Nothobranchius furzeri: one gene and its partner. Each later gene encodes a partner of the first gene's protein in a complex. Links are inferred from orthologs where the notes say so. Each region holds a gene or a part of one and is shown on either strand. Other genes may lie near its edges.

The links. The genes of interacting proteins can lie anywhere in the genome.
Region 2: vps8 (region 1) and tgfbrap1 share a complex: the UniProt entries of both Homo sapiens proteins name them as parts of the putative class C core vacuole/endosome tethering (CORVET) complex. The link is inferred for Nothobranchius furzeri from reciprocal best matches to the Homo sapiens genes VPS8 and TGFBRAP1.

What each region holds. Positions count from the first base shown.
Region 1 is NC_091752.1:59,816,682-59,821,997, forward strand, and holds the start of vps8 (vacuolar protein sorting-associated protein 8 homolog), read left to right. Parts: upstream 1-1,704; 5' UTR 1,705-1,786; coding exon 1,787-1,858; intron 1,859-5,316. UniProt on the Homo sapiens protein: Plays a role in vesicle-mediated protein trafficking of the endocytic membrane transport pathway.
Region 2 is NC_091749.1:37,399,282-37,404,533, reverse strand, and holds the start of tgfbrap1 (transforming growth factor-beta receptor-associated protein 1 homolog), read right to left. Parts: upstream 3,184-5,252; 5' UTR 3,168-3,183; coding exon of another isoform or gene 3,094-3,167; 5' UTR 3,076-3,093; intron 3,003-3,075; coding exon of another isoform or gene 2,934-3,002; intron 2,774-2,933; coding exon of another isoform or gene 2,669-2,773; intron 2,554-2,668; coding exon of another isoform or gene 2,438-2,553; intron 318-2,437; coding exon of another isoform or gene 188-317; exon of another isoform or gene 1-187. Other genes in the region: cul4a (cullin-4A), read left to right, coding at 188-317, 2,438-2,553, 2,669-2,773, 2,934-3,002, 3,094-3,167, 3,244-3,406, 3,493-3,582, 3,713-3,795 and 3 more. UniProt on the Homo sapiens protein: Plays a role in the TGF-beta/activin signaling pathway. It associates with inactive heteromeric TGF-beta and activin receptor complexes, mainly through the type II receptor, and is released upon activation of signaling.

The sequences.
Region 1 (5,316 bases):
GTTTTGGCACTGTGTGCAGGTGCCAAGTCCTGTTGAAAGGTGAAGTCTGCATCCCCATAAAGTTGGTCAGCAGCAGGAAGCATGAAGTGCTCTAAAACTTCCTGGTAGACGGCTGCATTGACCCTGGATCTCAGGAAACAGAGTGGGCCAACACCGGCAGATGACATGGCACCCCACACCATCACTGACGGTGGAAACTTTACACTGGACCTCATGCAACGTGGATTCTGTGCTTCTCCGCTCTTCCTCCAGACTCTGGGTCCTTGATTTCCAAAGGAAATGCAGAACTTGCTTTCATCAGAAAACATAACTTTGGACCACTCAGCATCAGTCCAGTCCTTTTTGTCCTTGGCCCAGGCGAGACGCTTCTTGCGCTGTTTCATGTTCAAGAGTGGCTTGACACACGGAATGCGACACCTGAATCCCATGTCTTTCATGAGTCTCCTCGTGGTGGTTCTTGAAGCGCTGACTCCAGCTGCAGTCCACTCTTTGTGGATCTCCCCCACATTTTTGAATGGGTTTGTCGTCACAATTCTCTGCAGGGTGCGGTTATCCCTAGAGCTTGTACACTTTTTTCTACCACATTTTTTCCGTCCCTTCGCCTGTCTGTTAATGTGCTTGGACACAGAGCTCTGCGAACAGCCAGCTTCTTTAGCAATCACCTTTTGTGTCTTGCCCTCCTTGTGCAAGGTGTCAATGATTGTCTTTTGGACAGCTGTTAAGTCAGAAGTCTTCCCCATGATTGTGGTGCCTTCAAAACAAGACTGAGGGACCTTTTAAAGGCCTTTGCAGGTGTTTTGAGTAAATCAGCTGATTAGAGTGGCAGCAGGTGTCTTCTATATTCAGCCTTTTCAGAATATTCTAATTTTTTGAGATACCAAATTTGGAGTTTTCATTAGTTGTCACTTATGAATATCAAATTTAAATGTAATGAACATTGGAAATACATTGGTCTGTGTGCATTGCATGAATATAATGTACAAGTTTCACGTTTTGAATGGAATTACTGAAATATTTTCAACCTTTTGATGATATTCTAATTTACTGGCCAGCACCTGTATATATGTATTGTGTATATATATATATATATATATATATATATATATATATATATATATATATATATATATATATATATATGTGTGTGTGTGTGTGTGTATGTATGTATGTATGTATTGCCAACCTAGAAAAATGTTTGCCCCTCTTCTGCCACCCCATAAATAATTGTCTAGATCCGCCCCTGGATACTGGATCGGAGTCAATCAATCTGGGTGGGTGGGGGGTGGGGGTGGGTGACAGATCCCCCCCGTCCCCCACCCTATCTGTGCACCTGGTCTAGAGCCACTAGTGTGTATGTTAAGTCAGAGTAATTGAACATCTGAACATTAGTTCAAGTCAAGTCTAACTTTATAAAATTATTTTCTGTGGTCTGACTCGAGTGCAAGTCATGTGACTCAGTCCACACCTCTGGTAGCTTCTTCACAGAAAAAAGCTGGTGAGTGGTCTGAGGACAGTTGTTAGCTTCAGACTGACTTTTTATGAATGAACAAACACTGAAGGTAAAAAGTGGCGATATGACTGACAAACATAATGATTTAACTCATAAAGGAATCCCGCGCTTCTAAAACCATTTCATCTTCCTTGTTTCTGGTGTGTTGCAATTACATTTAGTGCCAACAGATGGCGGGATTTCATCTCTAAGCTATTGGGCCTACTGATAACCATAGAAGAAGAGAAACCCCCCGAAGAAGCGGAAGAAAAAGCATCGGCAACGTAAACACACAAAATGTCGCAGCCACCAGACACTGGGAGCTTTTTATCAGCCTCTTCTCAGCTCAACCTCATGGAAGCGGAACCGGTGAGAGAATTACGCCCCGTTATACCGTCAGCTATACGAGACCGGTTCTCCCGGACCCGACCAGGTTCCTCCGTCGTTGGGTCCAGACCACAGCTTGTGGTCCGCCACACACAGCAGCATCAGCTGCAACAATAACAACAACAATAGCAGTCTTTGGACGCAGCATGCTACATGTATCGGTCTTTGTCAGATGACGTACCGGGTGCTGTAGCGCTAGCTGCTGATAGCTGAGTGTGTAAACACCAGAAGCGTTGCTCGGTTTGTGTGTTGTGAGCTTATAAACCTGCAGAAATGGTCCACTCCTGTTGTGTGAAGAGCTGCCATGCTGTTGGTTTTAGGCTGGTGCCATAATATTTTGACGCTCCCCCTGCTGATTTTTGTCCTTGCATCAGTTTTAGTAACTGTTTGATATACCAAGGGAGTTCTCCGTTGTGTATCTAAAATACAACTCCTCATCTGCAGGTATTTCCAGAAGTCTTGCTTAGGGATTCTGTACTACTAACTGTGTAAAACTCATCAGAGTATCCCCCTCAAAGACATCTCCTAAATAGATGATCCCCGCCTCTATCCATCCTTTCCAATAGAGGCTTTTTTTTAAAATCACTGTAAGAGCTTTGTTATACCACAGAGATGACCTTCTAGCCTAGTGAACTAGACCAAATTCTTGCTTTGCAAAGTTTGGTCTAGGCATGCTCCATTGGAACCTCTGCAGCTCCTACCAGGACTCTGGCTAGCCAATCACAACTCTCTAGAGGGGTTTCAAACACAAAGAGCTGTGATTGGTCCATAATGGTGGGCCAATCATAGTGCTCTATCTGCTTAGTGAACAAATCACAGAGCTTTATCCACTTTGTGGGCCAATCAGGGCACTCTATATGCCTGGTGGGTGGGATGATGCAACAGAGTGAAACAAGAGTATGTCACATTCATTGTCCAGTGGAATGCGGAGATCATTTGAAAGACAACGGTAGAACCCGCCCCACAACCGAGAGCCGTCAATGGAGCGTGGCCAGACTAAATAATACATTTATTTAGTCTGGCTTGCCAGGCTAATGACCTTCTAGTGAAAGAGGGATTCAAATTAGCCATTTTATGTACTGTATGCCATGTTTTCCTGGCGAATGCCAATACTGGGTTCCCAGTTGAGACGTCTCCCCCACTTTGAGAAATATAGTCCTGCAATGGCATTGGGGCAGTAAGTTCTTTTTCAATTAAACTCCAGACCGGGGCCTGGTCCTCTGGCCTATATATTTTTGCCATTTGTTTGAGAGAGAAGGCATACTGGTACCAGTCCATCCTTGGTAGCTCCAGACCCCCATCTTCTTTTGCCGCAAACATTTTAGTTCTATTCAATTGAGGTATTTTATCTCCCCACAAAAAGACTGCCACTGCTACATTAAATCTTCTCAGTTATGAGGGGGGGAAAGCCATGGGTAATAGATATGCAATGTAATTAAGTTGTGAAATCACTATCATTTTAGTAATATTTATTTATCCTAATAGAGACAAACCTATTTTAGCCCAATTTTGTAGCCTGCCCTCAACTTTTAAAAGTAAGGGGAGGATGTTTTCCATCACAATATCCTTTAGACCTGGAGTGATTTTTATCCCCAAGTATACTAATTCCTTTGGTGCCCACTTAAACTGCCAATCCTGCCAAAGGCTTGGAGGAATTGAGTTAGACAGGGGCATATCTTCTGACTTTCCCCAGTTTATCTTATAGCCAGAGACATTGGAGAAGGTCTCGATCACCGATAGGATCTGAGGGACAGCTACTTCTGGATTAGTCAAATCAACTTTATTTATGTAGCACTTTCCATACAAAAAAAAAATGCAACTCTTAAGTGCTTCACAGATTAAAATGGCCCCATAGATCCCCTGCAACGGTGGCACAGGAGTTAAGTGCTCGCCCCGTAATCAGAAGGTTGCAGGTTTGAGCCCCGCTCAGTCTGTCGCTGTCGTTGTGTCCTTGGGCAAGACACTTAACCCACGTTGCCTGCTGGTGGTGGTCGGAGGGACCGGTGGCGCCAGTGCTCGGCAGCCTCGCCTCTGTCAGTGCGCCCCAGGGCAGCTGTGGCTACATTGTAGCTCATCCCCACCAGCGTGTGAATGTGTGTGTGAATGGGTGAATGACTGATTGTGTTGTAAGTGCCTTGAGGGGTTCCAGAACTCTAGAAGGCGCTATATCAAATACAGGCCATTTACCATATATCTAGCCCAGCCCCCCTCCCCAAGTATAAAACAATTGACAATTGCATTTCCCCTCCCGCAACCAATTTCCAAGGTGAGCGTACACTCACCCACACACTCGCACGCTCGCACACGCAGTCAGTAGTAGTATGTCATCCGCGTACAAAAGTAGTTTATGCTCCATCTTACCTGCTAATATCTGCTTAATATTTGTATCGTTCCTGATGACCGCCGCCAGAGGTTCTAATGCCATGGCAAAGATTAAGGGGCTCAGAGGGCATCCTTGCCTTTTACCCCTGTGTAGGAAAAACTGTGGAGATGCCTTCCCATTCGTTAATACGGAGGCCTTCGGATTGCAATATAGGAGCCTAACCCATTTTATAAATGGAGAGCCAGCCCAAACCTAGACAGTGTCTTGAATAAGTATCCCCACTCCACTCTGTCAAACGCTTTCTCTGCGTCCAGGGAGAGGGCCACCACCTGTCCTGGGTCATTTTTAGCTTGCCAAATTAAATGGAGTAATCTCCGAACGTTGTCTGCTGAGGACCTCCCCCGGATAAAGCCCACCTGATCCACGTGTATGAGATGGGGCATATGAGCCTCCAATCTAGTAGCTAAAATCTTAGCCAATATTTTGGCATCTACATTTATAAGTGACACTGATTTGATCTAATTTCAGAGAAAAATAGAACAGGTTAGATGCACCTAATAAATAAAATTACTAACAAACTCAGGAGTCTGTTTCTTTGCTTCACTGTTTTGGTGCTGAGAATATCACTAATGCGGATCAAAGGAGATACACAGATGAATGCACCTCTTATTTATTATTTGGAGACTACATTTACTACAGCTGGCAGAGGCAGAGATTTTTTCTATTGATACACGGATTTACAGAATCATTTTAAATGTTAATAGGGGAAGACTGCAGGAGGGAGCGGTAAAATACAGGCGGTCCCCAGCAAAAACAAGAAACTTTACGAGTCTGATGAAACCCGCTGGTTTTCCATCAGGCAGTCACGGGCAGCTCCAACGACCCAGTGGCTGTGCTGGGTCAATGTTATCGAGCTCAGTCTGGCTCGGCAGAGGGTGAATGAGCCGAGGCGACGTCGTGCTCTGCTTAAGAAGAAGAAGTGTTATTTTCCCGCTTCAGAAGAAGCGTCCAACGTGTTTTTACGCTTTCTCCGAGACATGTCACGTCGCTAAGTTGTTAGCAGCGCGCGCTAACACATCAATAGTGCAACGTAGCCTGCTGGAGGTTTTAAGAGTTC
Region 2 (5,252 bases), on another chromosome or scaffold:
CGTTCGGTAGTTTTTTTCCTGATTAGCTCGGCCACTGCACGCCTGTTATTGAGTTTTAAATGGACTTTTAACTTTCTGCGCTTTTAACCAAAGACGTCTCGCTCAGCTGAGAGACGGTGAAAACAGAACAATCCAGCAGTAATTTAGAAAATCAGTTGAACCATACAGCGTTAAGCCTAATCTGATAATGGCAGAGGACACCCGACAGGACAAGCGGGCCAGCTTCTCCGCGCTAACGGAGCACGGCACCAACGGGATGACCAGGACGTCCAGCAAAACTGGTGCTTCAAAGAAACTAGTGATCAAAAACTTTAAAGGTACTGTCCCTGAGTGTTTCTCTTTTTGCCGTAAAGCAGCATCGTTACTGGAACCATGGAGATCAAAAAGGTTGTTCTCATTTGATAAAATAACACCCTGAAAGGCTTTTCTGTATGACACATCTCTTGGGAGGGAGTGCAATGTATTTGATCTACTTGATGCACTGTTAAAGTTTTATTTTTGTGCCATAAACAGATTTGTATTGTAGTACCAAATACCTGCATTTTTATAACAATTCCAACAAATGTTACTTTATTGCCAAAATTCTGTCAAAACAAGGCATTTTAATGACTTTTCGATACTAAAATCATTTTAGACCTTTCATTGTTTTGTTACTGATCTAATTAATTTGACATGTACTTCTGCAGTGTAGTTGAAAAGCTATCATCCATCCATCCATCCATTTTTGTCTGCTTATCCCGGGGTCAGGTCACGGGGGCAGCAGCCTAAACAGAGAGGCCCAGACTTCCCTCTCTCCAGCCACTTGGGCCTAGCCTGGCAAGCCAGACTAAATAAATGTATTATTTGCAAACTTTGCAAAGCAAGAATTTGGTCTAGTTCACTAGGCTAACTTGGGCCAGCTTTTCTAAGGAAATCCCAAGGCATTCCCTGACCAGATGGGAAATGTAGTCCCTTCAGCATGTCCTGGGTCTTCCTTTAGGTGTTCTCATTGTTGGACATGCCGGAAAACCTCACCAGGGAGGCGTACAGGAGATGTCCTAACCAGATGCCCGAGCCACCACAACTGGCTCCTCTCGATGTAGAGGAGCAGCAAATTTACTCCGAGTTCCTCTTGGATGACTGAGCTTCTCATCCTATCTCTAAGGGAGAGCCCAGACACCCTGCGGAGAAAACAAATTTTGGCCGCTAGTATCCACAATCTCGTTTTTTTGGTTGCTACAAGGGATATAAAAAATATCGATATGGCAGTATATCAGGATATTTTTTCCAGCGATGTTATATCAATACTTAAAAGCCGTGTATAGAAAATATTGATATCACAATATATCGTGATATTTTTCCTGCAATATTGTATTGATTTTCAAAAGCTGTGTCTCTAATTTTTGGAAGAATTTACACGCAAACATTTGCGTATTTACTTTTCTTTTGGTGCAATTCAAACGCCGACCACTAGTTGGCAGCAGTGTGCAAAGGGTTTGTTTCCACCATTGAAATGTAAATCCCTCTATTATGGTTCAGATAACTCATGTTAAACATGTTCAGTATCAGTTTGGACTGTTTAATGAATTTTCTTACAATAAATTCAGTCTAAAAATATCACTAATATCGTCTGACTGAATGTATCGTGAGATATTATATCGCCTCCCCTGTATCGTGATAAGTATCGTATTGCTATAATTTCACCAATACACATCCCTAGTTACTACCCAAAGCTTGTGGCCATAGGTGAGGGTAGGAGCGTAGATCGACTGCTAGATTGATCAAAGCTATCATACATGTTTTCAAATCAGATGGAGCATAGATTAGTTAAATGTTTACAAAACAACGTTTGTTTTGAAGAGTTTTAACTCTGATCATTTTAAAGTTAATTTTATTTTATAAAATCTTCCACCTGGTGTTTCATGACCCACACCAACAGGATGAAAACACTTAGTTTATATGAGGTCAGTGCCAAAATGACATGAAAGAAGGGAAGTGACAGTTTACTGAAGCTGAAAATAATGTTTCAGATAGTAGAAATTATTGTTATTTTAAGCGTGATTCATTCAAACCTTTGAGTATTTATGTTTAGGTTTATGTATTTAGCAGACGCTTTTGTCCAAAGCGACTTACAAGTGATAAGTATTTGATTATTGAACGCCAAGTGAAAGATTATTTTTTAAGTATACTGCAATTTATAATTTGCACTGAACTATTCATTGATTTATAATAAGTATTTTTAAGGCTACAATTTATAGTCTCACATTTTTATCTTGCGGGTTGCCAAGCAAAGGGATTTTTTTGTCAAAATTACAGTGTGGGTTTTTTGTGCAATGACAATAAAGCAAATCAATCAAATCAATCAGTCAATCGATTAGTGGTAAACACACGCCTTATCTTGTCATTTCATGATGTTCTCTTTATAAATTGTGCAACCTTTGCTTTGCTTTGGTTACAGATAGGCCCAAGCTATCAGAGAACTACACAGAAGACACGTGGCTGAAGCTTCGAGACGCAGTAGGAGCCATCCAGAACAGCACCTCCATTAAGTACAACCTGGAAGAGCTCTACCAGGTTTGTCTGTTAAAACAAACAAGCTCAGTTTTGGGTTAGACATGTGACATCGTGTCAGCTGCTAACATGTCTATTATTTTTTCTTCTTGTCTGTGATGAAATATGTCACTGAAAGGCGGTGGAGAACCTGTGCTCCTATAAAGTTTCCCCCACACTCTACAAACAGCTGCGTCAAGTCTGTGAAGATCACGTTCAGGCCCAGATCCATCAGTTCAGAGAATATCCTTTTGACTTGTGCTCAGTCGTGTCAGACTAACCCCAAGTGTGGCTCAGATGTTTACAGCTTAAGACATATTTGACTATTTCTACCATCAGATGACCATAAACTCGACTCAGACTTCTGATAAATTTGACGTTTTTTCCTCAACTTGGAGCTCACAGAGTCTCTGGACAACCTTTCCTTCCTAAAGCGAATGAATCGATGCTGGCAGGACCACTGCAGGCAAACTGTAAGTGCAACGTCTGATAGATTTCCATATAAAAACTGTAGAATAAATGTCAGTAAAGCATAAATGAACCAACCTGTGTCCCTGTTTGTAGATAATGATCCGAAGTATCTTTCTCTTCCTGGATCGTACCTATGTGCTTCAGAACTCTCTGCTCCCCTCCATTTGGTAAACTCGGCTCGTTTGAGCTTTTCCCGGTCTGTCAGGATGCTCTCAGGAAGCTGATGCTGTTCATGTGCTGCAGGGACACCGGGCTGGAACTGTTCCGCACCCACATCGTGAGCGATGTTGCTGTTCAGAAGCGAACAGTGGAGGGACTTTTGGAGCAGATAGAGCTGGAGCGCAACGGCGAGACCATTGATCGCAGCCTTCTCCGGAGTTTACTGGGCATGTTGTCAGACCTGCAGGTACACCATCTCCAGTTTATCACATCTGTAAATGCACAGGAAGATTATTTTCCAACAAATCATCTAACCTAACAAAAACATTTTAGGTTTATAGAGACTCGTTTGAGGAGAGATTTTTGACTGAGACAAATCGTCTCTATGCAGCTGAGGGACAACGGCTGATGCAGGAGAGAGACGTGAGTGAGATGATAAATTCGTCTGTTTATCATGCGGTTAAAGTAAATTGTGAATTAGCAGTGTGTGCGTGTGTGTGCGTGTGTGTGTGTGCGTGTGTGTGTGTGTGTGCGTGCGTGCGTGCTCGTGCAGGTACCAGAATACTTGCACCATGTGGCTCGACGTTTAGAGGAGGAGAATGACCGAATCATGAGCTACCTCGACCAGAGCACTCAGTAAGATCTGGAACTGTCACAGCAGGATTTATTCACCCTTTAGCAAGGCTTAGACCCTGGAGCAAATATTTTCTGATAATTCTAGCTCTTTGAGATTAATCAGAACTGACCAAAATTCACAGAAGAAACCAGAGTCGACACACATCAATATGGAAGCAAACATATTTTTACAGTCTTTAAACACGGTTAAATAAATAATAATACAGGTTGGATATTTTTCCGATTTGATAGACTAAATTAGTTCATTCTGATGTTCTTGTATACAAAACCTTGGATCACAGATGTCTGCTGTAGACGATCCTTTTCTCCAAACTGTACAGTATTGTGTGTGTATCTGTTGTTTCCTGTTACACACACTTAGTTTTCCTTCTTTCTTGTGTTTTCTTTTTGCTCAATTCACAGGAAACCTCTCATTAACTGCATTGAGAAACAGCTTTTAGGAGAACATATGACTGCAATCCTGCAAAAAGGTACATCTGTTATTGTCAGAAGATAAGCGATGGTGTGAAGCCGTGTGAGATTCTTCAGAAGTGGTGCTGATGTGGATGTATCGCCTATAACTGGTCCAGCTGGGTTGAATTTATGTAATATAATGTCCTCCTTGTGAAACACAGCAGTCAAATTCCCAAAACTCTGTTTACAGCCAATCATTTTTAAAGAAAGCTCTGTCTGTTTACATAAATCTCGCTCTAGTTAATTGTTTTACACGTTTTATGAACCTCATAAATCAGAAACCATAACAAATTGACTAAACAAACTTTCTATTGAGCTCCGTTGTTTAGGGTTTGTTTCTTTTGGCCTTCTGGGTTTGTTTGTTTTAGCTTTTTCCTAATGAGTTAATTTGATCTGGCGGTAAAGCTCAACCATTGAAGGTTTGCTGCTATGTCCGTGCCAGTCTGTAAAATCCAATTACACATGCAGTCATATGCCTTCATGGCTGTTTTCATTCCAGGTCTAAGTAATCTTCTAGATGAGAATCGTGTTACCGAGCTGACTCTCCTCTACCAGCTCTTCAGCAAAGGGAAGGGAGGACTTCCTACTCTGCTGCAGTTTTGGAGGGATTACATCAAGGTAGATGTAATAAACTAGACTAACGTAGCTTAGTCTCGTTATGTCTGAGAAATGTGAATACATGCGTTTTCTGGTTGCAGTCATTTGGTGGAGAGATTGTATGCACACCAGAGAAAGACAAGGACATGGTCCAGGACCTGCTGGACTTTAAGGACAAGATGGACAATGTAGTGCAGAGCTGCTTTGCACGAAATGAGGCTTTCATCAACGCCATGAAGGAGGCGTTTGAAACGTTTATCAACAAAAGGCCCAACAAGCCAGCTGAACTCATTGGTACATGAGGCCAGTCTGCTCTCCAAACTCAAAGAATAGTTGTTTTTTTCTTTGAGTGACATTCCCCAAACGGATTTGTATTGGTTTTTAGTGGTTCCTCTTTCTAATGACAT